Linked DNA regions of Struthio camelus. The protein of the gene in region 1 interacts with the protein of each later gene in a biochemical or structural test. Links are inferred from orthologs where the notes say so. Each region holds a gene or a part of one and is shown in the gene's direction. Other genes may lie near its edges.

Region 1 (7,298 bases):
TTTTACAATAGTGTGCTATGCATGTGATAACACGAGATATCTTTAAAAATAGTGTAATATTTCAAGCTTCAATGGCAATTATATCTTGGCTCTTGACATTTGATGCTAGAAAACTCTTTAATTAACTAGGCTAGCAATAGTGATGTAAGATCACAGGCACAATGGGATTCAGTGAGTATTTTACAAAATTGGATTAGAAGGAAATAAGAGATACTTTCCACTTTAGTAAGACTGAATGGTCCATCTGAAAGTTCATATTCTAGAGGGGAACAACATAAAGGTGTCCACTTTATCTGCATTAATTTTAGAGTCATTCCTGTTAAAAGTAATGGAAAACTCTTCAGTTAAGCTGCATGGAAGACTTTAAAATCCTCCCATTTACAGATGAAACCTTAAGATACAAGTCTATCAAATACCCTCAATTGTCTCCACCCAATCCCCCTTCTACTCTAGCAGGAGGATGCAGGAGACTGCAAAGTTAATAAAAATAAAGGCAAAGGGATGTCCTGAAACCTAAAGCCTTGCAGGAAACAGTCCCAGATGGTTCCAGTTGGTACACCTTGGCATACCAAGTCTAGACCAGCAGATTTCCCTTTTTTTGTGTTAGTAAACAAGAGGCTTAGAAAACTCATAGTCACGGTTTTGTCGATTAAAATTAAGATACAGCACAGTGATGAGTATGTGTTCTTGCATGGTAGTCATATGACATTCCTGATGGCTGCGCTTCAGAACTGCTGTTTTCGATGAATGCATCAAGCAGAAATTTAACTACTTTTCACTTTTACAAACTGTAACAAACTTTTATGGCAATGATGAGATAGCAACTACAACACTTGTAAATCAATATATGTTTCAAAGACTCATAGTTTCTCAAAGCCTTCAAGTATTAGAGGTGAGTTAATTCCAGAGTCATCCGGATTGCAGGGGCTTCCCTTTTCTATGGAATAGGAATGTCCTAGAGTAATATCTCTTAGTCTACAATTTAGAAAAAGAGAGTGCAGTCTTATAGAAGAATTCATCGTCACACAGTTTATCAGGAGGAATTCTAGCAGGCATTGACTGGCTGTATCAGAAGAGTATTTTCCTCTCTTCTCATTAGATATACCTTGCCAGAGATAAAATAGATTCCACAGATTATTTATACTGAAAAGATTTAGTATAGAAAGGTGTTCACAGACCTAACGAATACAGCGTTTGATGCTCTCAAACTAGCTGAGATAATTTCCAGACGCATTTGCATTCAGATACAGAAATTATGCAAGTCCTTCATTAGTTCAGCAGTTGTTCAATGACATGAGCATAATCTTACCAATATTATCGATTTATACAATGTTTACTCCAGTAGGCAGTTCCATGGATGTGGACAAGACCGCTGATGACAGTAAATATAGTCTTTTGAATTGGCTGTTTAAAGGCGCCAGTCCATATTTATGGTTAAATCACCTGAAGGATTTCAAACTGAAGTGAGTTTTCCAAATAGAAGGTTTCATATATTTCTCCAAGCTTATCATTTTTATCTTCAAAACCATTGTTTCTGGAGTCTGCGGAGCTTCACCCCCCCCCCCCCCCAGATGTCAAACTGCTGCAAGTTGGTACAAGCAGACAATCAGAAGAAATGGCATTATCTATCCTAACATATTGCCATGGTACCACAGTAACTGAACACAGGAACATGTGAGGGGCTACCTTGTCTGGCTGCAAATGCAAAATAGACCTGTTTTGGCTTAAGGTCATATGGTCATATCTTCTGGAAGAGAGTAAAAAGACCCAAGGGAGTCCTCTTCACTGATTAAGGGGAAACGCTTGTTTCCCTTTATACTGCAAACAGAATATGGACGAGACAACTCTGCCTTACATGCAGTTTTCAATGCAAGATGTTGGACAAAGCAGAACTACATTTGTCATTATGATTATTAAAAATAAATGAAGTGGCAAGGCTACACCTAATTCACCTGTGCCTCCCACTTACTGCAGCTATTTATAGCCATGCAAAGTGCATGTTGCCAAAGCACATTGTTGCCATTCTGATTTTGAGATGTTTAACATTCAGCTAAGGTTGGGCAAAAAAAGGCGCAAGATGCAGGGCAATGCAGTTGGGCTGCATGTGATCAGGGATGTGCAGAGCATAAAGCCAGGCCACTAACTGAAATAACACTAATCAAAAAGAACAGGGAGAAACCTGTCATAACAGCAACATCACATGTTCCTTGATAATGTTGCAGTGGAAACCTCCTGCAGCATATTGTGCACTCCTTTGCATCTTTAAGAACGCAAACTGTAAATGCTCTAAGCCCTTGTAAAAAAATTGCCAAGCCCCTTTTTTTCTCCTGAAAAAAAGAAGCACAGAGACACCTGGAAAATCTAGGTGGCACTAAAATTTTAAGTATTTTAGCTGGTTTTTTTTCTCTACCCAGAATTAATTTGGTGAGGCTCACACCTAGTGAGAAATATGATTTGAAAATGATGTTTGATTTTGAAATTGTCAGTGTGCTAACAAAAATGCATTCTGCTTTGCAGGCAAAGGAAGGATTCACCCATCAAAAGAGACTAGCTGTGGGAGATGAAAGAGAGTAAAGAAATGGAGAGCCATTTTAAACATATAAGACAAGACTTTCATCTAACACTGGACCATATGGGACAGTGCTATTAACCTCGGAAAAAAACTGACAGTACTGAAAAAGCAAAGAAAGAAGATGAAGAAAAAAAATGAATAATTTGCCTTCAATAACTTTTCTGATCTGTACTGATGTGCTTCAAAAAGTCTACATTTATTCTGGTTGCTTTTCCACTGGTAAGAGTTTGGCCATGAGTCCTCTACATCCTTATGAACATTGAAAAAGCGTTGTTTGGGGTTTTCTGACAGTTTATGCGTCCTTTCCCCATCTGCCTGTTAAAAGACTGTGTTGTCCTTGGCTCTCTGGTCAGAGCACAGCAGGGGAATGCATGTACGACTGCTCTGCCTCCAACATCCAGTATCACATGTTACATCCAACTTTCTTTCCCTTCAGCTGTGTGTGACACAAAGGAGAGTTGAAGACAGACATTTCTGCACTCAGAATTATTTCTGCAGTTTGTATTATTTCTGCCCGACGGGCAGCTTCCCTCTCGCTCTGCCGATACAGAAGCCAGTGCTCCCAGATCCTCCTGCTGAACCGTTTGCCTCATCGGGGCTTACAAATCTCCCCATACGGGATACCACAACCTGCCCTCCACGATGCATTTGCAGAATAAATTCTCCTTGCTCTTTGCAAGTGCTTTCCTAACATTTAAGTTTTTTTTTTCCTGAGAACTAAATGGATTACTTTTTATCTTGCCCTTGGGGGACATGAAAAACAATTGCTCGCAACCCTCTTTGTGGGAACCTTTTCCATGTTTTAAGATCCCTGTCAGCCTTCTCTTTTCCGTACCAAACTAGCCCGTTCTTTCACTCTTTCCTTGTGTGTCACAGGGCATACTCGAGCCCTTCCCTTGCTGCTAAAGCGCGACTGCCCAAAGCGGCCGCGGTGGGAAAGCTGGGCTGCGCGGGCCGCAGCGCTACCTCCGCGGCTCGCCGAGGCTGCTGCGACACCTCCCGCAGCCAGAAACGAGCCCGCGGCTTGGGCTGTACCTGTCCTTGCGGGGCTGTTGCCTCCGCGCCGAGCCCCGCCGGCCCTGCCAACCCCGGCGTTGGCCCCAGCTGCGCTCCCCGCGCAGCGCCCACCCCGGGCACCGCCGCGGCCCGCAGGCGATTTCTAGCGGCGGCACTGAGCGCGTATTTGCTCACTGGGTTTTTTTCCAGTTTTCCCTTGTTTGGGGGGGGAGGGGGCGGGGGGGGAGGGAAGGAAGGAGAGGTGCGTGGGATGGTTTGTTTTTTCAGACCGAGGCGAAGGCACCCCCCCCCCCCACCTCCCGCGGAAGGAGGCGGGAGAGTTTCTCACCTGCGCCAGCCCCGGCGGGGCGGGGCGGGGCGCGGGGGGCCGCGCAGCGCGGCGCGGCGCGGCGCGGCGCGGCGGGGCGCGGGGCGGGCGGCGGAGGCGGGGCCGGCTGTACTCGGCAGCCCTGCCGCGGGGGCTCGGGCATCTCTGCGCGCCGGGCGGTGCGAGCGGGAGCGGGAGCGGGAGCGGGAGCAGGCGCCGGGCCGGGCTCGGGGCGGGGGGGGGGCCGGCATGGAGAGCGCGTACCTCGCCTGGGAGCTGGCGCACGCCGTGCTGCTGCTGAGCCTCTTGCCCGCAGGTGGGAGCCGCGGGCGGGCGCGGAGCGCCGCGGGGCGGCGGGGCCGGGACACGCGTGGCGGTGGCGCGGAGAAACTTTGGCGGCCAGCGCGGGCGTCCCGGCCGGGCGGAGCGGCGCGGAGCCGTGCGGTGCGGTGCCCTCCGCGCGGGGCCAGCCTCGCCGCCGGCGCGGGGGCTGCGCGGAGCGGCCGCGGGCGGCCCCTGCCAAGCGCGGCAGCGAGCGCACCCCGGGGCCGGGCACCCGGCGCGGCCCCGCTCCGCCTGCGCGGGACGCTCCGCCGGGAAAAAAAAAAACTCCTTTGTTTGCAAGCGGCGGTTATCTGGGGCAGGGAGAGGGGCCGGGAGGGCGCCCCCGCCCCGCCGCTGCCCGGGCTGGGCTGTTTTGCCAACAAACTCTCGGAATCGGTACAAAACGTGCCCGCGGTGAGGTGCGCGCTAAACAATAGGCAGGGGAGGCGCCGGCAGCGGGGGCCCAGCGCCCCCGAGGGCAGCGGGGCGCCGCCGGCTCGGTGCCCTCGGCCGGACCCGAGCGGGGCCGTGGGGTGCGCGCTGGTCGGTGCGCGGCCGCCCGCCGCTTGCTTCGTGCCAGGGAGGTGCCAGTGGCCCCACCTGCGTGGGGCTGGTGCTCGCGCGCGGGGCTGGCGGTTTCCCACGCGGCATCCGGCTGCGGTGTTGGATAACTTCGAGCAAGGCTTTTGGAGCCGCCGTGTCTCGAGTTGCGCTGTTTGGTGGGTTAAGAAACGGGGTAGTTTTTTTTTTTTGGGGGGGGGGGGTGTCTGCGGGTGCCACAGGGAGATGGCTGTTAGTGTTTGTGGAATTGCACACAGTTTGGACCAGTGCACCAAAATTTGAAAGTGGACAACTTGAAAGGTTATCTTCCTACTCTTCTGCAGGAGAAAGCTAAGCATTAAGGGAAGCAGTGCACTTGCTAGGTGTTGTGAGTGCTGCCACCAACAGAGAGGAGACTTGGAGAGTGCTCTGTGTGTGAGGAGACAGGGGAGGGCTGTGGAAGTCTTCTGGGCCATAGTTTTCCCGTGCTGGAAGCAAATAAAACTTTAAAAAAAACCGAACAGTAGTGACAATTTATGATTCTTTATTGTAAGCACTTTATTTTGGCATGTGAGAAAGGGCAGTATTTGATTTATTAACACTTTTAAATTTTTTTTTTTGGTAACATTTGTGTTTTGTTCCCTTTTGTTTATTGATTAGTTCCAGTAGAGCGCCGTACCCGACAATTTGGACTTTGCTGTTCAGAATATCCACATGTAGGGATATATCCGCACATAACCAGAATATCCACAGACTATCCAAATGCTAGTGCAGTAGTCACAGAGATACAGAACTCTCCTAACAATGTGTTATTCCCTGGAATTTCTTAAAAAGTATATAGAAGTGATTAATATCCCAACAAACGTCTCCACTTCATACTTGTTTTGCCCTGCGCTTGAAGCTTATCCTTCATCTGCCAATTGGACTGTCCTTAAGAAAAGCTTGGGAAACACGTCAGACTGTCCGCATCTCGTGGAGGCCACCAGGTGCATGCTCTAGACTACTGTGGGGCGAGGAGGTAAGGGGAGGTGGGAACCCTTCGATCCTTCATCTGATTCTAGGTTCAGACACTTGTGGGAGGTATTTCCCTTCAGTGGCACATTAGGCAAACTTGTGTTGACAGAAATTCATAGTGTAGTCATAGGCACCCATGACTTGCCGTTGCAAAAGGCAAGGGTCTGTAGGTCCCTCCGTATGTCGTCTGTGTATCACATAGGTGTAGGGCAATTCAGGGCTAGCTTTGTGCTGGAAGGGGTGTCAGAAGGTGGCTCATGTCCTGGCAGGGGCGCTGGGCACACTGAAAGCGACAGGCCTGACAGAGCCTGCTTTGCTGTGCTGGGTTTTTCTGGAGCTGGCTTGACCCCATGTTGCTTTTGGGATTGCCGCAGTGCAGACCCGTGGACTGGATGATCTCCTGCAGGCCCCGTTCAGACCTGCCGTGTTTGTTGTTTATTCATATACAAGCTTATATTAAGTATCTTTTTTTGGCCTTTAAGTCAAGAGCTTTTTCCTTTGGTTGCAACCAAGGAAGGAGGGAGAATGTAGAAAGCAGAGCTGAATGTAACTTGTTGGAGAGGAACCCATTCTTCTTCTCTGTCCCCACCCCCTTCCCCCTTCCCCTTGTCTCTGAACACATGCTTGCACTTTTCCATCCATTTGAGGGTTGCCTAGTCCTCCTTTGATGGAATATTCTGGAATAAGCTTTTTCTCTGTGCTTTTTCCCTATCCTCCCGCGAGGCTCACCCCCCCCCCCCGCCCCTAGTACTCTTTCAGGGTTTTCGCCCTGCAGCCGAGGAAGGCTGGACCTGGTGGCTCCTTTCACTGCCCCTCCTGACCGTTTCCCAGCGAGCTGCAGGGTAATGGGAGGCTCTCCCTCTTCCCCGGGGGGAAGCATGTCTGTGTTCATTTTGCTTCCCGGTACCTGCCAGCCTGGAGGGAGGAAGACTGAAGGCGGAAGATAGAACTGGATAACGATTCTGACTGCTGTCACTGAGTCGCTGTCTTGGCCCCTCAGATATCCCGCCCTCCCTCCTCCCCCGTTTGTTGTGTTGGGCCTCCTTGTTCTGCCTGTCCCTGTTGTCTCCTGCGTCTTTTCCTCCCTCCCCTGCAGCCCTGCGGATTGTCCTGTGCATAAATGTGGCCCAAGGCCACTGCCAGGAGCAGAATGGAAATGTGAAGGATTGTTCAATAGTTGACTCTTTTCCTTCCGTTACAACTGGGAAGCTTTTCGGAGCGAGTGTGTAAGTGATTTTTCTTCAAGCTTTATAATGATGTGATAAATTTGGCAAAGAGTGAGATGCACATTTGCATCCAGCTTAAGTACTGTTCATAGAGACTGGAAGCATTTCCATGTGCTCTTTTTCCAGCAGAGTGCCTCTCACTGACAGATTAGCCCAGCTGCATTACTCTTTGGTTACGCTGGCTCACCATGGGCTTTTCATTTCACTTCAGCATTCTCAGAAAGCTGTTGTTGGTTGTTGAAACAATAACGCTTCTTTGCAGGTGCACAGATTGAGTAGAGGATCTTGACTCACCTCG
Region 2 (7,611 bases), on another chromosome or scaffold:
ATCTTCATTTAAAACTACTTTAAAACCTCTGTGTATTAAACGAATAGCAGAAAGAAGCTTTTACATAAGTCAGGAAAGAGCCATCTATTTTTTAGCAGCTGCAACCATATTTTTACTGGCTTTGACAGAGTTTTAACAGTCTCAGTGCAACTTCCTATTTTGGCGTTGTCTTTAATGCCAAAAAACTTTCTTAGCAGCACAGCCTATCTATTGTACACTAATTATCCTGCCATAAAGTCCTAATGGAAATAGTTATGTCATTTTACGGCAAAGTAAACCAGCAAAGACACCAATGGACAGAAGCAGTTTTAGGCTTACAGTAAAAATCTGTCATTCCTTGCCTCCATCCGGATTTTAGGATAGGATGGTAGTCAGATGTACAAAATCCACTTTCTTTCCAATGAAAGCAATGACTACATACTAGCCTAGTCTACCTGCTTATCTTCATAGCTTCTGCTGGGTAAAATAATCTCACACACAGCCGCACAACTCTAGCCTCCTTCACTGGCATTTTTAACAGATTTCAGATACTCTAAAGCTACCTGGCTCTATTCTTATGCTGCATGACTTGCTTCTTATTTTTCCTGCATCTAGATTTTTTATTGGATTTTTTTAGAAAAGTATCATAATGAGGTACTGAACTTTTCATGCTGCCATTTCAGGAAATAATTGTATTAACAATTTTTTTTTTTTAATTTGGAGACGTCTCTTTAGATCCAGAATATTGCATTTACCCCCAATCAGGCTGCCAACCAAACTGGCTAGTTAGTGAGTTTACCATATAATAATGTCATTATCTCTAAAATAATGCTAATATATTACAGAAAATCAACCAGTTACAAGGAAACTGCTTTTCTCAAATTAATTTTTAGAACTAGATTACGTGAATGAAAAAAAATACCATTGAATCCTATGTTCTTATGATGCCTGTTGAAATAAAAGTGGCTCTTCAGAGTGTAGATGTCCCCATGGATCTAAGTCTCGACTGAGTCATTTACTTACTTGCTAATTGGTAATACTGAATAACCACAAAACTCTTCCCTGTCATTTGTATAAAGCATAAAGGCTTTACGGTGCTTAAAAGAAACCAACAGTCACTTTGGTAATTCTTAGGTATAAGAAAGTTCAATTAGAAATTCAAAATGAGTACTTTGATCCAATATTAAAGTACTAATATTCAGTTGTGGTTGTGCTCTGACATTAAAATATATGACTTCTCAATCACAGAATAACACGTAGTGCAACTTGTGGAACCAAAGACAGAGAAGATTTCTTAAAGAGTTAGTTATCTCAACGTATTTCCTCAAACCATGTAATTTCTGTAAATCTTTCATGTTCTTAAAGGTTTTTTTCTTTAGAAAAGTGATTCCTCTGCAATCAAAAACTTCTGTAGACAAAACCTAAGGATGTTTGAGGGCACTTGGCTCTATATACTTCAATTTTAATTCTTATCTTTTATTTCTATCTAGTCTGAAATAGGTTAGTAAAGCTTGTATCTATTACTCTGTGTCTTTAAGAAGTGCTGGGGGGAGGAGTTAACTGAATTAATTCAGTATAGATGGAGGCCTCCTGTCAACCAAGGCCTTTGTGTGCTCAGCTTGTTTATCAGTGTAACAGAGTTGCGAATGGGAATAGCGCAGGTACATTTCCAATACGTAGAAACTGTTTTTTGCCCTCACAGTGTAGACGTTTTCATTGGAGAGCTTTTTCATCTTTTCCAAACACTTGTAGAGGGTCTTTTAGCTCTCTGCAATGGCTGCTGCTGAAGCCAGATCTGATTCTACATATTCCTACATTCTGGCTGTTCCAGCCAGAAACCAAGCCATTGACACACTACGCAAGCTTATCTTTCCTGCAGCTGGAGCTTTATACAGCACAGCAGATAATCCATTAAACTCTAGAATAAATAGCATTTTTGCAGCCATTTCTCAACAGTAGAAGATGGTGAGACTCCTACATTCATGACAAACTGGAAATACTTCATTCATGCTTCAGTTGTTGCTATTTCCATATACGCAGAATAGTACTCCTGGTGAAGGACGGTTCTGCTCAGTGGGTGGAATCAAATCCTGTGAGGACGAGCAGCAGTATTTTTGTGGCTTCCCTGTGAAGAAATAGGTCTTCACAGAGTTATGTGAGGAGCCTGTGTTTACCCTCAAGCACTTCAAAATGCAAACAAGGTAGACCATAAAAGACTGAATGTGGTTCGCAGTTATGCTTTGGAAACCTACCACTCAACACGCTAACGGTCCATGACTAACCAGTTCTCTTACTGGGTAAGTCAAGAGTCAGCACTACGTTGGAAAAAGCCAAAGCTAATAAAAACATGTTTTCTAATGGGTTACGAACAAGTAATTAATGTGTTTAAAGTCTTAAACTCTGAATTTCAGAGAAAAGACTTCCCAAACTGCATTGAGGTCGATGACAACAGTAATACGCTTGCAAATTGCCAGACAAAAGGAAGACATGGAAAGGGCACTATTCCACTATAGCTGGACTTGGTTAAACACAAGGACAGGTTCAAGAACTCAAATCAAGGACAGACAAAAAAGGTACATGACACTAGAACGGTAAGGAGACCTAGTGAGGCTTAAGAGTTGTATTCTCTCTGCATGACATGGTTATTGGTAAAGTGACTTGACACAAGGCATCCACTTACACTTTCCTGACATGACTAATGAAGCCTACAGAACTTATCTTGAAACAGTCATATTCTCTGAGTCCTTCCACAGTAAAGAAAGAAGATAAATTTATTAGAGAAAAGAAGCTGATTGCACAGGGCAATCTGATGAGTGTTTCCCATGGCTCTGTCTCTCACAAAGACGGCTTTAATCTAAAACTTGTTGAATCTACTGGACATGCTCAAAAATTGCTTTAAAAGACTCACTTCTCCCCTTTCCCTTTCTTTCCTCCCACTGATGATCTAATATGGTGGACTGTGCTCAAAATGCAGTCAGACCAGTAGTATTTTTCATAAGGTAGGTAACTACTCTAACAGACTGCTTTTTCACACCTTCCGCTGCTTCTCCTTAGGAGACTAAACTGGTCATCTGTTCTGAGGAGGAAGTGTGCCATAACATTTTAATTTCCTGACGCTATTTGCTAAATGCGTATAGTGGGGAAACAGTATGGGTTGATCATCACTAGGTGATATACAAAATATCCTTTCAGTGAGTGTAGAGTGTAGTCATTGATTTTTTTTTTGTTATAGACTTCCTCCCTTTCACTGCCTGTCTACCGTATCTGCTTAAATTACAACCTTTTTAAGGCAGAGACTATTATTATATATATAGTCTGGTGAAGCTCAGAAGGTAACACAAGAACTCCAAGGCAATTCAGCATGGTAATAATTGAGAAATGCAAAAACTGTAACAAATTCATCAGCTGTCTCATGCTCTAAAAGCAAATTATTATCCCATTTTTCTAGACTGGATACAGAAGGACAAAGCAATTAGATGATCTGTCCTAAATCCAGATATACAGTGGAGTTGGGATGGGTTCAACAATTCTTAAAATCCATTTCAGTGCTTGAACAGCTCATCTTCACTCGGGCCAGAACCCTAATCTCGCGAAAACTTAGCAAGTCTTTGCAAATAGCAAGTCTTGCTTAAAACTTGGCAACTTTTGTGATGAAATATCTTATTGTCTCTTGTAGGAAATGACCATTGATTTCAGCAGACTATTCTTTCTTCATCCAGTGCTAATGCGATCTTCAATCATCACTAAAGATCGCTGTCTTGGGAAATGCTAGTTCCAAAAACCACACTTCTTCGCATTTAATGAACACTCGAGACTCTGCCTGCGTCAACCTGACAGCTGTCCTCCCAGACAATGACCTGAACTCTGTCCCGACGGCGGGGGCAGAAGGGCCAGCAGGACACCGCACCCTCAGAAGCAATAGCGCCGTTTTCCAAGCCCAATGCTACTGGATTATTTCAACAGTACATGGATTTTAATGGCACAGTAAAACACCTGCAGGAGCACCTTTACGTAAGCATTAGGAGGCACTGCTCCACAACTTTTCTGCAGCTGGAGCAGGTAAAAAAGAGTTTTTAGGCTTTCATTAAGACACTTACTACAGTGCCTAGTTCCATTAGCTTGTTACGGAAAGGCTAAATTTCAGTTTCCTGACACGGAAATTACAAATCAGACGTTTCCCACCGCGCGCTTCAGGCCACTGCTACAGCTAGGTGCCACTCATAAAATACCGGCCATTTGTTCGAGTCTGGCACCCAAACTGACTTCAAGCAACAGGACAGGCGAGGCGCCTCCTCAAGGTACCACCACCCACCACACGAAAGCCCAGCAGTGCGGCGCCGCCCCGGGAGCGCCAACGGCAGCGGCGAACACCCGGGCTGCCCGCTGCCCCCGGCCCGGCCCGGCCGGCGGCCTGTGAGGCGACGACGGTTGGAGTCGGGGGCCCCGCGCGCGCAGGGCGGGAAGGCGCCGCCGCCCGGCCGTCAGGGGGCGCCGCGGGGCGGCCGCGACGGGCGGGCACCGCGCCGGCCCGGCACCACGGCGCGGCCGCTGACGTGCCGCGCCGCGCAGTGTGCGCCGCGCCGGCCCGGCCGCGGCCCCGCCGGGCGCGCTTCCCGTGGGAGCGGGCGGGCTTGGCTCCCTCCCGTGCTTAGCTTTCCCTGAAGTTACTCGGGTTCCCCCCTCCCTGCGGGACCTGCCCCGGCTCCCGACTTCCAAGCGCTCGAGGAGGAGACGGAGGGAGGGCGGGAGGGAGGGGAAAGGCGTGTCTTGCCGGGGCTGTCGCTGCTGCAGCCGTTGCCGCCGCCGCCGCCGCCGGAGGCAGATCGGGCATATAAAAGACCTGGCCGGGCGCCGGCGGCGGCTCCAGTCAGTGCCTGCGCTCACGCCGTGGGCAGAGGGGCGGCGGCAGGCAGCGGGGCGCGCCGTGGGCAACCCCAATGCGTGGACTATCGGCTGCTGCATTATGCTGGAGCTACAGTTCCGCTGAAGGCAGTTTGCACCCGGCTGGCTGGGCTGGACTGCAGCGCTGCCGTTCCTTATGAAGAAGGCACAAGTGAGTAGGGGCACCGCCGGGGGGCGGCCACCTGCGCGGGCGGCGGAGGGGGGTCCCGCGGCGGGGTGCGGAGCGCCGAAGCGGCCCCGTGTGCCGGGGCGGCGGCGAGGTGCGCGGCCGGCTGCCCGCCCTGGGCAGGCAGGGCGGCAGCGGGGCCTCGGGGGCTGCGAGGGCAGCGCCTCTGCGGGTGGGCGCTGCAGCCGCTGCTCAGACGGAGCTCAACGACTTGGAATAAAAAAAAAGAAAAAAGAAAAATCCGTCAAGTCTCGTCTTTGGCACGCACCGCCCGGGGAAAAGTTCCGGCAAGCGGGGCGGATCGTCGACGGCTTGGCTTTAGCGGAGCTCCGAGGGCAACTTGGGAAAAATTGCCGTCGTAAATGGGGTGCCTGGGTCGGATCGGATCGGGTGCGGAGCGTGGAGTAACGGGCGGCGGCGGCGGCGGCGCGGCGCGGCGCGGAGCGGTGCGGTGCGGTGCGGTGCGCGCTGCTCTCGCCCTCGGCCGCGCCGCTGTGGGCTCTCTGCCCTCACCGCGGTCCCCGGAGATGGCAGTTGCTCTCCTGCGCATTTTTTTTTTTTTTTTTAAAGGAAGGTTGGGGACGGACACAAGTGCAGAAAGGACTGGAAAAGCCATCCCATAATAAGAAAACGCGTACGGGAACTCTAAAGAGGAAAAGTTTTTAAGGCTTGGCTTTGCAGGGTGCCGGTGCCCTCTGTCCTGGTTGACCTTAGCGCTGAGCTGCAGGGGCAAGAGCAGCACACCGGGCGCTCGCTCGCGCTGCTGGTCCTGCTCAGGAGGCTTTTGCCTTCGCCTCCCCTTCCCGTTCAGAAGCAAAATAGTTTTTGGCCTTCCCTCATCTGTTGGTGATTGCTAGGTCTTCCCCGACTCGTAACTGCAGCATACAGAAAAGACATAAAATACATTTTTAAAAAGGGAAATACCTTACTGAAATCTATTGGACAATTAAATAGCCTTTGGAGAGAAGAGAGGAATTAGAAATACTTACTTTCTCAGGTTTTTAAAATGCAAGTGGCTAGAGCACTGGAGAGCGTACCCATGCTTAAGGAGTTATAATTTGCTTGACTTTAATTTTTGCGATGCTGAAATACAGTGAGGTTTAATCTTAAATGAGCAGTTCTGAATTCTAACAGCATAAATTCATTGCTGTTATTCCTAAGACATGATAAAGATGCCTTGCACCTCAAAACTGTTGTTTTGGACCTTATATGCAGACTTGATCACGCATGCTGAATAGATTATTAATTGGGAAGAGTCACTTAAACACTGAGAGCCATATTTGTATACTTACTTAAAGTTTATACGTTTACTTAAAATTGGACTCGGTAAAAGTACTGTGTTATCTTAGCCCATAGCAGCACGCATGTCAGGCTGTTTCCTGAGAAGAAAAAACAGTTCAGCAGGCAAATGAGGGTTTACAAGTGCAAGTGATCAAGCATTTCATTTCGTGTGAACTGTAAACTTTTAAAGCCCACAGAGAACTTTGCCAAATTCGGAGCAAAGCAGGAATAATCCCTCTCTCCCAGTAAACTGGGAAAGAGGCAGTCCTGGCATTCAGTACCATATGGCTTGACTCAGGGGATCACAAACTGTAGCCTGTGGAACAGCTTCTTGTCATAGCGGTGAAGCATCTGTCAGCCTTCAAGCAGTTATGCTTCCTGCTTTTGGGAGACAGTGACAGACTCCTAGCTTTCCAAAGCATGTTTCCTTCATTTTAAGGATTAGCAAACAAATGTGATACTAAACCATTAATCATTCCAAGGAGATCAGAGCAGAAGATATGTCAAGGAAGGCTTTCCACTAAAACCATGAATACCTTTGTGCGAAGAGAGAGTAAGTGATAGGGATACAAGAAAGGGAACATAAGTGCATTGTGGCACTGGGTGCATTAAGGTGAATTTTAATATTTGTGTTCCCCTGTAGCAGCTTTTCACATTGTCTAGACTGATAGCTGGCACAGAGAAAAGAATAGGATAGGAATGCTAGGAAAGAAACTAACATTTCTTAATAAGAATCCTGCATGAGACGTAGTATAAGAAGTGAGAACCACTACCTCGATAAGCCTTGAAAGTACTTAATAATGCCTTGATAGTACTTAAACAATCAGGGGTTTTGATGTTAAGGTAATGTTACACAAGGATAATATATAACTAGTGCAGCTGAAGGAGTAACTAAGTCATACTTCATTGCAGCTAAAGTGCTGAAGGAGAAGAAGGAGTCATGCTGAATAGTAGACTAGAGTGAGAAGGTTGGTCAGTTTATTTACATCAGTCTTAACCTGAGAAACTGGAGGAACTGCAGAAACATGTTCCCCAACTGTGTCAGTCCTAAAAGGATTATTTATGAAGCTGTACAGTTTGATAAATATATAAACCCCTATTTTAAATACGCCAGCATCTTGTTATTTAAGCAGTAATGACTTTAAAATTATGATTAAACATTTAGGGTCCGGTCTTACACATCCTTCTTCAATGGGACTATTTCCATGAATTAATCTTGTTGAAGGATTACTTGCATGAGAGGATTTGCAGGCTTATATACTTAGTAATTAAAACTATTACTG
Region 3 (7,511 bases), on another chromosome or scaffold:
GTGGGTTGGCCATGACGAAGGTCATTCTTGGCAAGTGGCTCTTCAGTGGCCTGTAGGCTAATCTCTTGTATGGGGTCTCAGTTCCTTTCGTTGGGGAGTAAACTTACCTGTTTCGCACATGCTAATACAGTTCTTGCTAACTGATACCCTTGCAAAAACAACAGATGTTCACAAGAGTTGGATGGATGGTCTGTCCTAAAAAGGGTTCTTGCAAGTGCACAGGGAAGCGTACTGGGACAGGGAGAGGTGCAATATTGTACCTTTTGGATAGCATCTCCTACCTCAAGGATTTGGAAAACTTTCCAAGCCAGCACTGTCATGTGGGACTAGACTAACCAAATGCAGTGCACAGTACTAAGGTAGTTCTCCTTCTCTCTTTTTTCTCTCACAATCACCTTGTTCTTCTTTCTCCTAGTCACCTGAAGAAAGAAAGTGACAAACCCCTTTAAATGGACTCCTACTCTCAACGCGACATCATCATGTCTTTCTCTTAAGAGGAGCAGTTGATCAACCAAATCCTGGGGGAGGGGAACCTACACATCCTGATCCTACAGTGCAGTACAGTGCAAGAGCAGAATGGATCAAGAGTACAGGATGGCATCGTGGGAGCAGAAAGGAGAGGAGAGAAAATGGGGAGGGACTGAAACACCACTAATGGACATGGAATGATTGGTACATGATTCCAGCAAGGCTCTGAAGGAAACAAAATTAGCAATGCAGAGAGCTCAAAAAGACAAAGACTGATGGAAATTCAAGATTGGAGCTGCTCCATCCTTTCTTTTGGGGGAACAGTTGCATTAAATAAAAACAGTGCAGAGCATCACAGGAGTTCATGTACATGATGCTGTTGCCCTTTCTGCTTCTGTGAGGAGATGTGGCCAAGAAGTAACTCAAAAACCTGATGGAGCTTCTTTTAAAGATGCCTCCTCACCCCCCCCCCCCCCAACTTTAGATGTAAGATACAGCTAAGTAACACAAAAAAGCAACATGGAACTTTTTCAAATTAGCCAGGGTGGCTTCCCATTCTCCAAAATCCTGTCAGATACAAAGCAAGCATTATGGGACCCCTTCAGAAATGGCCACTCCTACCTAACCGCTCAGTCACTGAGGGTCTGGGTCTAGCTGTGAGGTGCAAAGCACCACGAGACTTTGCGAGACCTGAGACTGTTTGCGAGACCCAGTGGCTGTGCTTTCCTACGCCTCGAGGGAATGGTTAGGGCCATGAGGTGCAAAGCACCGGGAGACTGTTTTAAAGACTGCAATTAAAGACTGCAATCGCCTCTATCCCTTTGAGCCCCATTGGGAGAGCTGACATGGCCAAGAGCCCCTGCATCGCCCCATTGGGAGAGCTGACATGGCCAAGAGCCCCTGCATCCTGGTACTCTCTTCGCGAAGGTGGCTGCCCCTTTCCCCTCACCCATTCTAATTGATGTACTTTTAACTCATGCACATCCTATTAGACGTGGCAGTTTTATGTAGCAATTTGTGACTCCCTTATCCCGCGTGCGTGTCTGATTTCACAGTTGTATATCTCGATTGGTCCCCATATATATATTTACTTAAACATTAAAAAAAGGAAAAAAAAAAGAAAAAACAACCAACAACCCAACTATGGAAAAACACCCGAACAAAGTTTCCCACGCACTCCCAAGCCTCAACACACATTCTAATAATTTATATATATAAATATATATATGAAGCTCTTAAAAAAGAAAAACAAAACAAAAAAAAAAACCCTTCCAGAAACAGTCTGTTGTGTTCGTTTCTTTTCTACTGGGGCTAGGAAGCGATCTGGAAGTGCAGTGAAACAGCACACCTGCAGGGGAGTTCAGAAATGAAGTTCTCCCTGGGCAGAGGAGTAAAGATGGGGGATACCGAAACAGGCCGAGGAGTGGCTGCGATGCAAGTCGCTGCAGGGCCCGGAGGGTGGCGAGAGCCGGGGGCACGGCCGGGACGAGAGAGGCCAAGTGTCGCTACAGGAAATGCCAAAGCAGGGCCCGTGCGGGCGCCGCACGAGGGAAGCCCTCCTCGGCGGCGGAGCTGGGGGATCGGCCCGGCCCGGCCCGGCCCGGCCCGGCTCGGCCAACCAGCGCAGAGCGGCCCCGGCCCGGCCGCAGCGCAACACCCCCGGCCCGGCGGTGGTCACGGAGGCCCCGCCCCACCGCCGAGGGGCGGGGCGAGCGCGCCTCGGCACCAATAGGAAACAGCTTATTTACATACTACCCCAAATACGTCCCAAACCTCTCTTTTTGGCTATTATAGTCATCGGCAGCGTGGGTCAGGGAGACAGACCTGTTCGGAAGGGCGCAGAGGCGCTAAAGACGGAGGCTGAGCGAAAGATGTGGCTCGCCCTCACCCCAAAGACAGTGCAGCTCGCGTGGGCCCCCGCGCGGGGGCAGGCGCTGTAGTGATTTCAGCTCTTTTAGTATTTGTCCAGTAGGTTTTCCGCGGCGCGGGAAGCCTCGCTGTCTCGTGTAAGGGCAGAGCGGCTGCCGCGCGTGCGCGGGGAGCGCCCGCCTGGTGGCTGCGGGGGTGGGTTGGCTCCGTAGCGTGGCCGTGCGGGGGGGCGCGCAGCCGTGAGTGCGCGGCCCGCGGCGCCCCATGGCGGCGTCGGCGCAGGCCCCGGCCGCGGCGCTGAGCGCCGAGCAGGCCAAAGGTGAGTGGCGGGGGGCGGCGTGGCCGGGAGCGGGGCCCGCCGGGCGGGCGGGAGGCGGCGGCGGCGGCGGCGGGCTGGCAGCGGTGCGTGTGCCCGCAGTGGTGCTGGCGGAGGTGATCAAGGCCTTCGGCTCGCCGGAGAACGCGCAGCGCATGGACGAGGCGCGGGACAACGCCTGCAACGATATGGGCAAGATGCTGCAGTTCCTGCTGCCCGTGGCCACCCAGATCCAGCAGGACGTGATCAAAGCCTACGGCTTCAGCAACGACGGGGAAGGTGGGTGCCCGCCGGCGGGGCGGGGCGGGGCGGCGCGGCTCTCGTGTCCGCGCCGCGGCTCCCCCGACCGCCGCGGCGGGGCGCCGCTGCCGCAGCCCGCGGCTCAGCCGCTCTCCCCGCCTGCCCGTTTCCTTTGCAGGCGTGCTGAAGTTTGCCCGGCTGATCAAATCCTACGAATCTCAGGACCCGGAGATAGCCAGCATGTCGGGGAAGCTCAAAGCCATGTTCCTGCCGCCCATGACGCTGCCCCCGCACGGGGCTGGCCCCGGGGGAGTGGCGACCTCGTGAGAGCGGAGGCCCTGTGCCGTCCCGGCCCTCGGCGCTGGCAGGGCACGGCTGGACAGCGGAGACGCTGCTCTGGGAGGAACCAGGCTGCTTTGTGCGCCTTTGTATGTCTGCTGGTGAATAAAAGCTATCTGGAAAACAAACCTCGTGATTTCTGAACGGACCTGGGCCTAGCACTGCTCTGCCGGGGCGGGTCCTTTTCTCTGCTGCAGAGGCGGTTAGAGCAGTGTCCACCTCATGACTGGTAAAGCCTGTGCTAATGATTTGAGAGGGGGAGGGCTCGTATGTATCAAACTCGGAAAAAAGATGCTTGCTCATGCAAGCCTTGGCCTGAAACCACACCACCTAGTATTAAAGCAATACTTTTTTTTTTTTAAACAAGATTTCAGAGGTGCTAAGCCTTATCTAAGAACAAGCGTTTACAAATGAGATATTTGACATGTTTTAGGTAGTGGGTTCATAAACATAAGCTAGTCCCTAAGGTGTTCTTCAGCAAGTGGCCTAAATGCAGCTCAGACCCCTGTCACCAGGCCAGTCAGCCATGCTAGTTTGTTCCTCCCTGTACACTGCTAACACCAGCTTATATAGCTGCACAGTTGTCTTCTAGCTGAATGTGTGATCAGACATATTAGACCTAATGTAAAAGGCTGCAGAAAGGTGAAGCAGGGACGAGCATGGCGAAGGAGAGCTAGCCTTGCCCCTTTTGGCTGCAGCCAGGGTTAGAGCAACATAAACATAATCTAGAACTGCATCATGTGCCTGCCAAGACCAGAGAGAGAAACCAACCCAGGGGAGCAGTTCCTCTCAAGTTTGAATCTTTGTATTTGTGACTTGATTCAAGTGAAGGGGCATCAGGTACATTTGACTGTTGGTGGCCTTGCAGCTTGTATGGGTCTCTTGCCCTTAGATGTGTTGACACATTTGGGAAGGGTCAGGGTGGGTTGGGGTGGAAGGGCTGGGAGAAGAGGGAGCTGAGGGTCAGGTGCTGGAGAGCTGTGTGTAGTTTTGTTTTCTGCGTCTTTCAGCTACAAAGGGCTGAGGAATGTAGCCAGCAAGGGCGTGAACTTAGTGGATAGGAGGCAGGAAGAACAGTCAGTCCCTTCCGTCTCCATCCACCTCTCCCAGCTTGGGCTTGGCCTCCCCCCCCCCCCCCTTCTAATTATTTATTAACTACAGCCCAGGAAGTGTTTTGTGAATGGTGAAAATCAAACCCTTTGCTTGAGGCCTGCTGTTTGCCTGACCTGGAGCTACCTTCTCCTCTGTCCACACCAGAAACAGGCCGAGTTCAGAACTCTTCCCGTGCGGATCAGATACAGGTGAGTCATAGGGCTTGCAGCAGACCCAAAGCACTATCGGCTGCTCCTTCCGGAGCTGTGGAACGAACCATGGTGAGCATCCAGCCATGTCTCTAGGGTGGTCTAGGTCTTGACTTGCTCTGTCAAGTTGTTTGATCTCTCTCCCAAGTCCATTTCAGATACTACTGTGTTGATACTTCCAATACTTTTTTTTTTTTTTTTTTAGTAGGACCCCCTGGTTAAGGGCTGTGGTACTCCCTCCACCTGCTGCTTGCTGTTAGTCCCCTATCTGTGGGGATCTGCCGGTCAAGATCCCAATGCCATCCTGTGGGTGAGTGTTGTGTATGCTAGCTAGGGGTAGAAAACAGTGTTGTTGGTGAGAAAAAAATAATGGAAGTAAGAATCAGGTGTAGAGGGGAAAAAGAACACCTTATACTAGGAACTACTGGAGAGCTGGAGGACTAGGTTCACAGTGAGTTAGACTGCTGTCGCTGCTGCTCCTCCTCACTTGTATAAAGAGAGAGAAGAGTTTGTGATGACCAGTCCAATACAACTACTTTTCTGCCTTCTGCAGGCCCTGCAGCTGCAGCATTTCAAAACATTTTTGTACAGAGAGAGATCAGGTGGCAGACCTTTTTAAAGCCTGATTATTTATTGATTTGTTACTGTCTTTAGAGTCTAATTGACAAGACACATGCTCTTCACCGTCAATCCAAATGGGTGCTCTGTTGTTGGGACGTCAGCAACATGGTATAAAGAAATGGGATTAGCACCAGGGTTAATCTATGGTTAGGTTCTGCTTGGGCAGCCACTGTGGTCCAGCACTGTCCTGTGGTCCTGTAGCCTGCCAGAGAGCATCTGGCTTGGGCAAGTCCCAGGAAGATGGTCCATCTGCCCATTCCCCCAGAGCAGATGGCCTTTATCTGGCAGCTCTAACAGTGCAAGAATGCTGCAGCTGAACTACTATGTAGCTCTGTGTAAAACTGCAACTTCCTGCCTATGCTTTACCTTGGTGCTGAGAGTTACCGGGTGGCAAATGCAGTGCTGATTTTTAAAAAGGGTTCAAATGAGAACCACAGACCAATAAAATTGATATCTAGAATGAGCAAGAGATTAGACACTATAATAGAAAAAGGAATGAATATGACATTAAAGAAAGAGTCCCTATCTACTTTGGTAAAGGCAAATCTCGTCTTGAAAAAACACTGGAGTTCTCTGAGGGACTTAGCAAGCTTGTGGATAAGGGAGATCTGGCTGATACAGTTTGCTTGGATTTGACAAGTTTCCCCTCATCAAAGACTTTTAAAGAGAACTAAAGACTTTTTAAAGAGAACTAAAGCCATGGCATAAGAGAGAGGAAGATTTTTTTCTTGAGTAAAGAATTAGTAGAAAATAAGAAATGGAAGATGGGCATAAATATCCAGTTTTCACAGCAAAGGGTAGTCACCAGTGGTCAGATCACTAGGGTCTGAGCTGGGATATGTGCTGTTCAGTATATTCCTAAATGACCTGGAAAAAGAGGGTAAACAGTGAGATGAGAAAATTGGCTGATGGCAGAAAGATATTTAGGATAATAGAGTGGGAGTCAACTGTGAAAAACTGCAGAACGAACTTATGATAGAGAATGGGTGGGTAATAGAACAGCAGATGAAATTCAAAATGGGTATATGTAAAGCAATGTTCATGGAGGAAAATAATTCAAACTTCACCTATAAAAAAAGAACTCTGAAATGATCATAACCTCTCTGGAGTAAGACTGTGATCTCATAATACATAAGTGCATGCAAATGTTAGCTCAATGCTCAGGTGCAGTGAACAAATAAGCAGAAATCATAGTTATGTCTTTGTATATGTCCATGTCTCACCAACATCTTGAATGCTATGTGCAGTTCTGGGGTCCCACTTCATCCTCATCTCCAAAATGATATAGCAGAGTTGGAAAAGGCTCAGAGAAGGACAGTAAAGATGATTAGAGATGTAGAATAGCTCTGTACACAGAACATCTAAATAGGGTTGGAGTCTTCAGCCTGGAAAAGAGCTAAGGAAGGAATCAGAAGTTACAGGTCTCTAAATTCATGAGTGGCTTGGAGGGAGTGAGTAGGAACCAGAGGAATCAGTCATTGATTTTTTCTTTCATTACAACAGTCGGTTGTTAATAAAAATGGGCAGGGAACAGGTCATAAGCAAACCAAAGGAGGTGGTGGTTCTGTAGTTCAGCAGTGGAACTGCTTGTCAAAGGATGCTAAATATCTTGTGGATTCAAAGATTGACTCTACAAGTTAGTGAGGGCATTGTCCAAGTGAGCCCTGAACATCTCCAAGACTGGAGATTGCCCAGCCTCTCTGGGCACCTGTGCCGTTGCTGAACCACTCTTGGGCAGGAGTGTGTGTGTGGAATTGTTCCTATATCTATTCAGAATTTCTCTTGATGCAAGTTATGCCTGTTGCCTCTTGTCCTTTTGCTGTGTCCCTCTGAGAAGGATCTGGCTCCATCATTGCTAACCTCTCCTTCCCTGCCCCTTTAGGTAGTGTCAGACTATTAAATCCCTCCTCAATCCCTCCTCAGCCTTCTCCAGGCTGAACAAAACCAGCTCCCTCTGCCTATCTTCATGTGTCTCATCACTGGACTTTCTGCAGTTTGTCAATGTCCTTTTTCTTTTTTTTCTCCCCAGTAGTCCATATGTGAGCATCTTTTAATTGGCTCCTTCATTTATCCTCCTTTCTAAATTGATTCCTGTGCCCGTTGTGGCCTAGCTCCACAAAGGATTTAGAAGATAAGGTTCTACAGTTTGTGTTGTACTGAAGGCCAGACTACACCATAAGAATAATCTCTTTGATGCTGAAATCTCTTGACCTGTTAATTACATGAAGAAAGTATTTCAGTGGCTCAATTAGTTTGTTGTTGTATGCGCCAACTTTTACAGAGAACAGCTTCAAAGATACCAAGCAATTGCTTCTCTAAATTTAACCCACTGTGATATTTGCCCAGCTTATCAGTTG
Region 4 (7,513 bases), on another chromosome or scaffold:
GTACCCACACTTAGCTTTTACAAAGCTCATATTATTGCTTTTTTGAACACTTGCAAACGGTATTTTAGGAAAAAAATTTAAGGGAAGTCCCAAATTCCATAACTTTATGCTCATTCCTGAGAATCTAAAGCTTGATCAGTTTCTCACACTTTCTTACTTGAAGTAAAGCAAAATTCCAGAAGTACTAAAATAGTTTTTAAATTGAATTTTTAAATTGTTTCCCCTGAATTTCACTGTTTAAAAAGCTGACTGAAGTATATTTATTTTGTAATGTGTTTTATTCCTTATTTCTGTCATTGTCAGATAGACCTGGGCTGGAAGATCCCCACTGGAAAGCTAAGTTGGATGTTTTGGAGACTGTGACCCATAAGGAATGAGAAGATGTCACAGTCAGTATACAAGTAGAAAAAAAATAGCAGTTAATATCTATTAAGAAGGGACACTTCAGTAAATGTTGCTGTGAGTGGTATACTGGAGATCCCCACAGCAACTAACACTTTTAAACTACTGTGAGGGAGATGTGGTCTGCATTTTTCTTTTTCATTAATGCTTAAAATGTGCCTGACCGTATTATTTCTTTGCAATGATAGCACTGACTTTCTTGACCAATGTTGAATAAGCAAACATTAAAATTCTGTAGCTACTCATCTTAAATATGAGGAAAGAGAATGGAGAATTAGACTGAGTTACAAGCGACCGCTGTGTAGTTAGCTTTGCCTGAAACTTTTGTGGCCAAATGAAGAAGTTTGTTTTAGAAATTTACATTAGCATCATGTGGAACAATTTTACAAGTACAGTCACTCTGAACTTGCATCTCTCTGTCCTATTTATTAACCCTGTTGCTTGTTAGGAATGAAGTAGGAAATGTTGTGATAGTCCAATAATTCAGCAGCAGAATACTTCTGCAAGATGTACGTGCATAGATGCAGGGGATGGGGAAAGTTAAACTCACTTTTTTTAATTATAGCAAGAGGGGAATTTTTTCAGGCTAGGTCATCATATTTTCTAGAAGACTGCAGCTTATTAATTGCACTCGTTTTCTTGCTTTGAAGAAATAAAAACTCTCCCCCCTACAAAACCTTATACCCCACAGAGGTTTCTGGCTGTCATACACAAGGTCCAAAGCTCGTCACATCTTCCCTAGAAGGACTTCAGTAAACTTCAGCTTGGATACAAAATCCTTGATTCTGGTTTTCAAAGTAGCTGGTTACCTTAGCTCTAGGTGAGGTTGAATCCCTTTCTGCAGTATAATCCTAGTTACTGTGTATTGGTGTATATGATGAAGGTGATCTTCTAAATAACTTTACTTTCCAGCTTCCATAGTATGTGCAAGAAGAACTGAGGACATCTGTGCATTTCCTTCTAACTGCTGTCTTCATTCTATTAAGGTTCTTGCCATTTTATCTCCTCCTTCTCCTAACATGTTTTAGAAATGCTGGCTTTCAGAAAAATATGCAGCGTACTTGGAATGGACCCCTTGCCACCTCCTAAAAGTACATTTAATGCGTGCAATAAAAAAAGAAGAGACAGCTGAAATGGCAGAGGACAAGGGAGATGGGAAGGACAAAAAAGAGGAAGATGCTGCCTAACAATGCTATTGCATTTGTAAGATAACGTTCACGTTATTCCAATTTTTATGCAAGTTTGTTTTAGTCTGACAATTTTATTAACTTTTTCCTTTATATAATGTACTGTAGATAATTTTAAATTGTACTATAATCACTACAGAAATTGCACCATTCCTTAAGAGTGAAGTTGCCTATAGCAACAGTTCCTTCCTTTCTGTTATGTCTCCTTCCCCTCCCACTCTCTTACTCTAGAAGAAACACTTCCTGCAGCAAAATAGGTAGACAGAGGCAGATACTATTAAACTCTGATGTTTGCCTATGTGGTGTACAAAGCAAAGCACAAGCTTGCGGTTTGTTTTTTAGATATTTTCTGTATTATTTTAGATTTCCAGCCCTGATCAGGCACTTTCTAGCCTGATCTGAAGCAGTTGAAATTGGCATAGGGCCTTTTCCGCTTTTGGAGAGGGATCTTGCACTTTGTGGGCTCCCACCTAGGAGCAGTGATGTGGATGCTGAATTGTACAGACATATAACTGATTGGGGTTTTTTTGGTTGTTGTTATTTGTTTGCAATTGACCAACCAAATGTGTGAAGGAGAGCCTGTAATGTGGCTTTAATGTTTTGTAATGCTATCTTGTTGTAATGCTATGGAGAAAAAGAAATGAAATTGCACACTTCTGTCCTATGTGATGTTGCTGGTTAGCTAACAGATTGTCACACACTTCATACTTATGTTCTACATTTAAGCTTCACTTTTTAAATCTCTATTCATATTCTTTCAGGCTGTTTGGAGTTTTTTGAACCACTGCTTTTTAGGACTTATTGAAAAATTTGTTTCTGTATTGTTAGTTTGTCATCAAATGCTTCTTCCTTGAAAGTGCAAATTGTTTGGGGAGGGGAGGGTAAAGCAGTTTCCCTTTAAACATTCTGGCTTAAGAATTATAAATGGAACAAAAACACATATTTGAGGAGGGATGCAGTTAAGTGTTTCTGTAATTGTTTAAACAGGTACAATGTATTTAACTAGTACTGTGCCATTTGTTCTGAACTGAATGTTACTCAGTTAACTGGCTCTGCTGGAGCTGCTGACATCCTTCTGTACGTTTATGCAGTAGAGGTTCAATAACGTCACGTGGGCGGAAGCCTTGATTCTGATCTACCTTTTGCCTTATGATTAACTTCATCTGTTGCTGGTAATTCAGCAAGATTGGGGAGTGTTGAAATACCATGTACGGTTTCTAGCCTTTTACCTTGGTCAGAGCAGAAAAGAGGATACAACAGTGCATCCACTCCAAAGAGCTTCTCTCATTAGAAATTAGGAAGTAAAAACATTAAACAGTGCTACAAGTACCCCCAGAATTGAAGGAAAAGTCACCAGTGCTAAAAATAAGTTTAACTGACGTGACAGGATAGCTGATGTGGATGCCTGTAACAACGAAGAACCCAGATATGAAACATCCCTTTGAGTGCTGCGCATCCCCCCCTCAGTCATGACACAAACACGGACACTGCAGTGAGGGCCTGGTGCTGCTAGATAAAACCGCTGCCGAGACCTAGTGTAATGAACTGAGGTTGTCAGCTGTAACAGCACATCTTCCACTTGTCCCTTGAGCACAGGGACAAGGGCTTTCCCACAAAATCTACTTTCTCACTGGGGTGTAGATTTGTGCAAATGCCATCTGCTCTCTAAGGGTTTAGTGAAAATATCTCTGCTGTCTACACTGCTCCTGACTGGGGGAAGGAGGGGAATTCTTCTTGGAACAGTCAGTCTGGCTCCTGCAGCCCACTTGCCTGCGGGATTGCCATGCAAGTAGCATAGAGATGCATAACAGCACTTGGACCTAGTGATGTATCTATTTTCTGTAGTCACCTGTTGTAAGCAGGATAAGATAAAGCAGTGTTTAAAGGTTCAGTCCTTGCCTAGGGGGAAATGTCCACTTAAATGGTCCTCCCAACATCGCTGTTGAATTGGTGGTATCACTGGTGAGAAGTCTGGCTCTAAATATAAAAATGTTAGCTCTAAAAAGGGACATTTAAACTTAGTGATGTTCTTTTTAAATGTCTGAAGTTGGATGTCAAAGGCTGAGAAAGCCTTCCTGTGCTGCCTTTATGAACAACAGAAAGAAAGCGGTGCTGCTAGGATAGCTTGACTTACTCAAGGTTGGCATCTGAAACCAGGTCAGCTGCGTCGCATTCTGGAGGTGCCTGTTTTTCCTTTGGCTGTAGAGAAAGCCAAAGGCAACATGGATCCTTGGCTTTAGACGCTAAAAGGAGAGGTAAAATGAAACCCCTAAGTTGCCATGGAGGCAAGGTAGGAAGATTTGCCTGCTTTTGTGACAAGTGTCACCATTTTCTGATTTCCTTTTGAATGCTTGAAATGTGGGACAGATTTCTCAGGCGGAGAAGTTGTTGCATTTCTGATGAATCCAACTGTATTGTCAACTTGGGGACTGAAGAGAACTGAGTAGGCAAAGGAGAGCTGTATAAAACTTTGAGTAGAGCTGTGTATTAAAGAAGGGAAGAAGACAATTTTGAGGAATCCTACTGGGAGATGGGAGGAATTGAAATGCTCTGGGTTCATTCTTTAAACAAATACGTATTTATTTCAAAACTACTTTTTCTTTTGAATTGCCAGTATTTTTAAAGGATTAAACACCATTTTATTAGAGAAAAAATTAAAAAGATCAAATTAACTGTGTTTGCCTGAGATTGCTTTTTTTTTTTTTTAAACCCATTTTATTCAGAAAATTGGAAATGTTGAAGGTTAGGGTAAAACTGGTCTCCAGGTTTTTGGCTAGTGTGGTGAGTTGCAGAGGCAACTGTTCCCTCTGCTCTAATTGTAGATGCTGGAGGATATAGATAAGCCCCTGCCATTTGACAGCATTGTGCATTTAAGGATCTCTCTGGGCTTTACAATTGCCCATTTCAGCCTGTGATGTGTCTGTGAGTGGTTTTCATCCCATATAGAGTGGACAAGGCGCATACATGCTCCTGGATCAACCTCCCTTAAGTCTCAGGCAAGTTGATGTTGAAACAGGGTTAGACATCAGGAACCGTGGTCCTGCTGTGTCCTTTTCTGAGTCTCTCATTCCCCCTAGAGAGCAGCTGCTACTCACGGTCACCTGCTGCTCAGGAAGATGCTCTGATCATGGTAATCAAGGCTGTATCAGCGAATCTCACTCTATTTGCGTAGTTGATCATTAATTTTCTGTGAGTGCTACACAATGCAGTAGGATGTGAGATCTGGCAATCTCCAATGCCTCTTCTAGTGAGGGTGTGTACTTGTGCTATTGAAGGGTAAAAGTCATTTTGGGGTAAGCGTTGTCAAATAATGAGTCATCTCTGATTAATGTTTGACTATATAGGCGGCAGGCACTAGGACCTCCAGGACGCTCTGCGTCTACAGCGCTAACCAGAAGAGAAATCAGGAAATAACGCAGTGGCTCTTTCTGGGAGCGTGTCCTTGAAAATAAAGCTTTGCTGCTCCGTATGAAAAGGGATTTATTCTCCAGGAATTCAGGGATTTGAGTCCCGGCTTAGCCGTGAGCAGCCCTGAGACATCGTTGCCCCCAAGGCCTTGCATGGACATTTCTGGGAGGTAAGTGCAAAGGTCTATTAGAGTTGTTGAGAGCAGGTGATGTTGTCATGTCTGCTCTGCTGGTGGAGAGAGATGAATGTAGTGTTAGTGTAGTGGTCAGTGGAGTAAACAGCCAGGTGTCACCTGTTCTTCAACAAATGAACTATACTCGGCATTTGTCTAAGTGACCCTTTAGTGCGATGGCGTATCTGTAAAACAGGAGAACTTCTCCAGCTTGTATTTCAAAGGTGCGTGTGCAATATATCCGTCTCAAGTTTCAGTGCAGAAGTTGCAGTCTGCTAATGTGTGTGTGCCCTCTTCCACCACTGCGGTTGGGTCATGGTAGCTCTTCAGCTGGAGTCACTCTGTGCACTGGAAACAAGCCTAAACTCTTCAGTCAGGGTCGGGGAGGTTCAGAACTGAAATGCATAGTATTTCTGCACTTCACTGCAAATATACAGGTTAGCTGGTTTAAAAAATTGTGGAATAGCTTCCGGAAAGGGGGATGTGGGTGGGCAAATGTCTCCTCCTAGGCTTTCTGCCCATACATCCTACTTGAGGGAACATACGTTCTAGTGATGGGAACCACATGGACCAAACATCTCCAAGAATAACAGTTGCTTTACAACAAGGTATGTGAGTGGCACCAGAAAGAATATGATTCACCTATATGCTAGCTGGTGTCTGGGCTGATGTGCCAAAGGGTCTCCAAGTTTGCCCAGGGACAGGTATCTGGCGGTGTATATCTGGCAGTGTACCTCTCTTAGCCCTTGCAGTGGCTTTACCAAACCAGGCTCACCAGATGTGTCAGCTGGGAAGAGAGGAAGACATGCCCTTGGGTGCCTAGCCCAGAGCACCTGGGCCACCCGCAGTCCGCACACATGGAGGCAGGACTGAGCAAAGAGCTGTTGCTTTGCACCAGAAATGACTGTCCTGGAGGAGCAGAAGATGAAGGAAAACCACCAGGGCAGCTATTGTCCCTCCTAGCTGAGGTGGCATATCCTTTCTCAGTACCGTGGGGGCAGCCAGTCCATCGGTCCTGTGTGTTCCTGTGGAGACCTGGGTTGCCCTGCAGCATGGGGGATGGAGTGATTCCTATCCTGTGAGCCCTGTACCCAGATGATCCTCACCCACACTGGATGTGTTACACAGCTCACCTGCATCCCAGCAGGTAGGACTTTGGCTGTGTCTGTGGGGGAATATTCAGAGGGCTGCTGGCTTTGCGTCTCTGCCCAGAAGCTTTAGTCCACCAAGATAATATATGTGGCACAGATGGGCTACAGGACAAAAGGATGTCTGTACTAGGTGAAGATGGCTTCTGGAATAGAAAAAAACTGCTAGCCACTAATATTAGCCTTGAAACAGCTGCAGCTGTCCCTTTTTGTGGATCTTCACTTTGTTCTGGATTCTGGCTGAGGGTAGATGGAAGCTGGCATGGTAAGTCTTCACATCGTCGCAGTCACCTAGACAGGCTGGGTTTTACCACTTGTGATGCAGAGGAGTGACCGTGACTCACCCTCCAAAAGAGGAATAGAGCAAAGACTGTCATCTCTGCTCCAAGGAGCTGACTGAGCCCCGCACCTCTCCCAGCCGTCTGGGGTGCTGCCTCCCACCCCTGCTCAGTCAGATGCCAGAGGCGTCACTGCGGGAGAAGGGAAGCCTGGCTCCTGGAAGTGAGAGCCCTCGTCAGCCGGTGCAGGGAGGCCTGACCTCGCCGTCAGGGATGGGTACACCACGCTGACAGTGCCCTGGAGGGGAAGGGAAACCGAACTGAAGGGAGAAAGGCCAAGAGAGCAGGGGAAACATCGTCCTTGTTGGAAGTTTCCAAGCAACAGTAGATTTTCCAACTGGATTTTCCAGAGAGAGGTGCAGATAGTGCTGGGTCCCTGCCACACATGGCCAGGCTCTTGTGTTAGCTGAGCACCAAGATCAGTGCACAAATAAAATCACTTCCCCCCTCCTCACACGTTCCCGTTCTTTGGAAGCTGACACTTCTCTGGCCGTTTTGAGGTCTTGAAAACAGAGAAGCACTGAGCTCCTGAGACAGATTCACACTTTCCAGTGCTTGGGTAGGAAGGAGCAAGGTGGGCACGACTCAGCTTCGCCTACGTGGAACGTGGGTCTCATCAGATGGCATATTTTATAAAGCCTGAAGCATGTGAGTCATGTGAATGCATGAGAAATCCTCATCTTCCTTTAGAAAAGGAAAGAAAGCATCTGCTTTGAAGTGATGGAGAGAAATTTAAACCAGCGAAACAGCCAGAGAAAGGGCTCTGAACTCAGAAGAAAACTTAAGGAACCCCCTTCTTTATTTTTAAAAGCCTAGTGATTTTTTTGGATGATGCTGTGACCTGGGGAGCTGCTGGGC

Evidence for each region.
Region 2: the proteins of KIT (region 1) and KITLG form a complex in vitro, tested with the Homo sapiens proteins (3 studies listed by BioGRID and IntAct, with this or other methods). The link is inferred for Struthio camelus from reciprocal best matches to the Homo sapiens genes KIT and KITLG.
Region 3: the proteins of KIT (region 1) and PTPN6 form a complex in vitro, tested with the Homo sapiens proteins (2 studies listed by BioGRID). The link is inferred for Struthio camelus from reciprocal best matches to the Homo sapiens genes KIT and PTPN6.
Region 4: the proteins of KIT (region 1) and MATK form a complex in vitro, tested with the Homo sapiens proteins (2 studies listed by BioGRID). The link is inferred for Struthio camelus from reciprocal best matches to the Homo sapiens genes KIT and MATK.

The regions. Positions count from the first base shown.
Region 1 is NC_090945.1:56,830,777-56,838,074, reverse strand, and holds the start of KIT (mast/stem cell growth factor receptor Kit), read left to right. Parts: upstream 1-4,059; 5' UTR 4,060-4,145; coding exon 4,146-4,212; intron 4,213-6,861; exon of another isoform or gene 6,862-7,000; intron 7,001-7,298. UniProt on the Homo sapiens protein: Tyrosine-protein kinase that acts as a cell-surface receptor for the cytokine KITLG/SCF and plays an essential role in the regulation of cell survival and proliferation, hematopoiesis, stem cell maintenance, gametogenesis, mast cell development, migration and function, and in melanogenesis.
Region 2 is NC_090942.1:49,333,674-49,341,284, reverse strand, and holds the start of KITLG (kit ligand), read left to right. Parts: upstream 1-4,539; 5' UTR 4,540-5,017; coding exon 5,018-5,032; intron 5,033-7,611. UniProt on the Homo sapiens protein: Ligand for the receptor-type protein-tyrosine kinase KIT. Plays an essential role in the regulation of cell survival and proliferation, hematopoiesis, stem cell maintenance, gametogenesis, mast cell development, migration and function, and in melanogenesis.
Region 3 is NC_090942.1:90,534,567-90,542,077, reverse strand, and holds the start of PTPN6 (tyrosine-protein phosphatase non-receptor type 6), read left to right. Parts: upstream 1-4,393; 5' UTR 4,394-4,533; intron 4,534-4,738; exon of another isoform or gene 4,739-4,741; 5' UTR 4,742-4,829; coding exon 4,830-4,843; intron 4,844-7,511. Other genes in the region: ATN1 (atrophin-1), read left to right, coding at 416-449; C1H12orf57 (protein C10), read left to right, coding at 2,602-2,656, 2,738-2,932, 3,072-3,220. UniProt on the Homo sapiens protein: Tyrosine phosphatase enzyme that plays important roles in controlling immune signaling pathways and fundamental physiological processes such as hematopoiesis.
Region 4 is NC_090967.1:486,973-494,485, reverse strand, and holds the start of MATK (megakaryocyte-associated tyrosine-protein kinase), read left to right. Parts: upstream 1-4,374; 5' UTR 4,375-4,842; exon of another isoform or gene 4,843-4,933; 5' UTR 4,934-5,166; intron 5,167-7,513.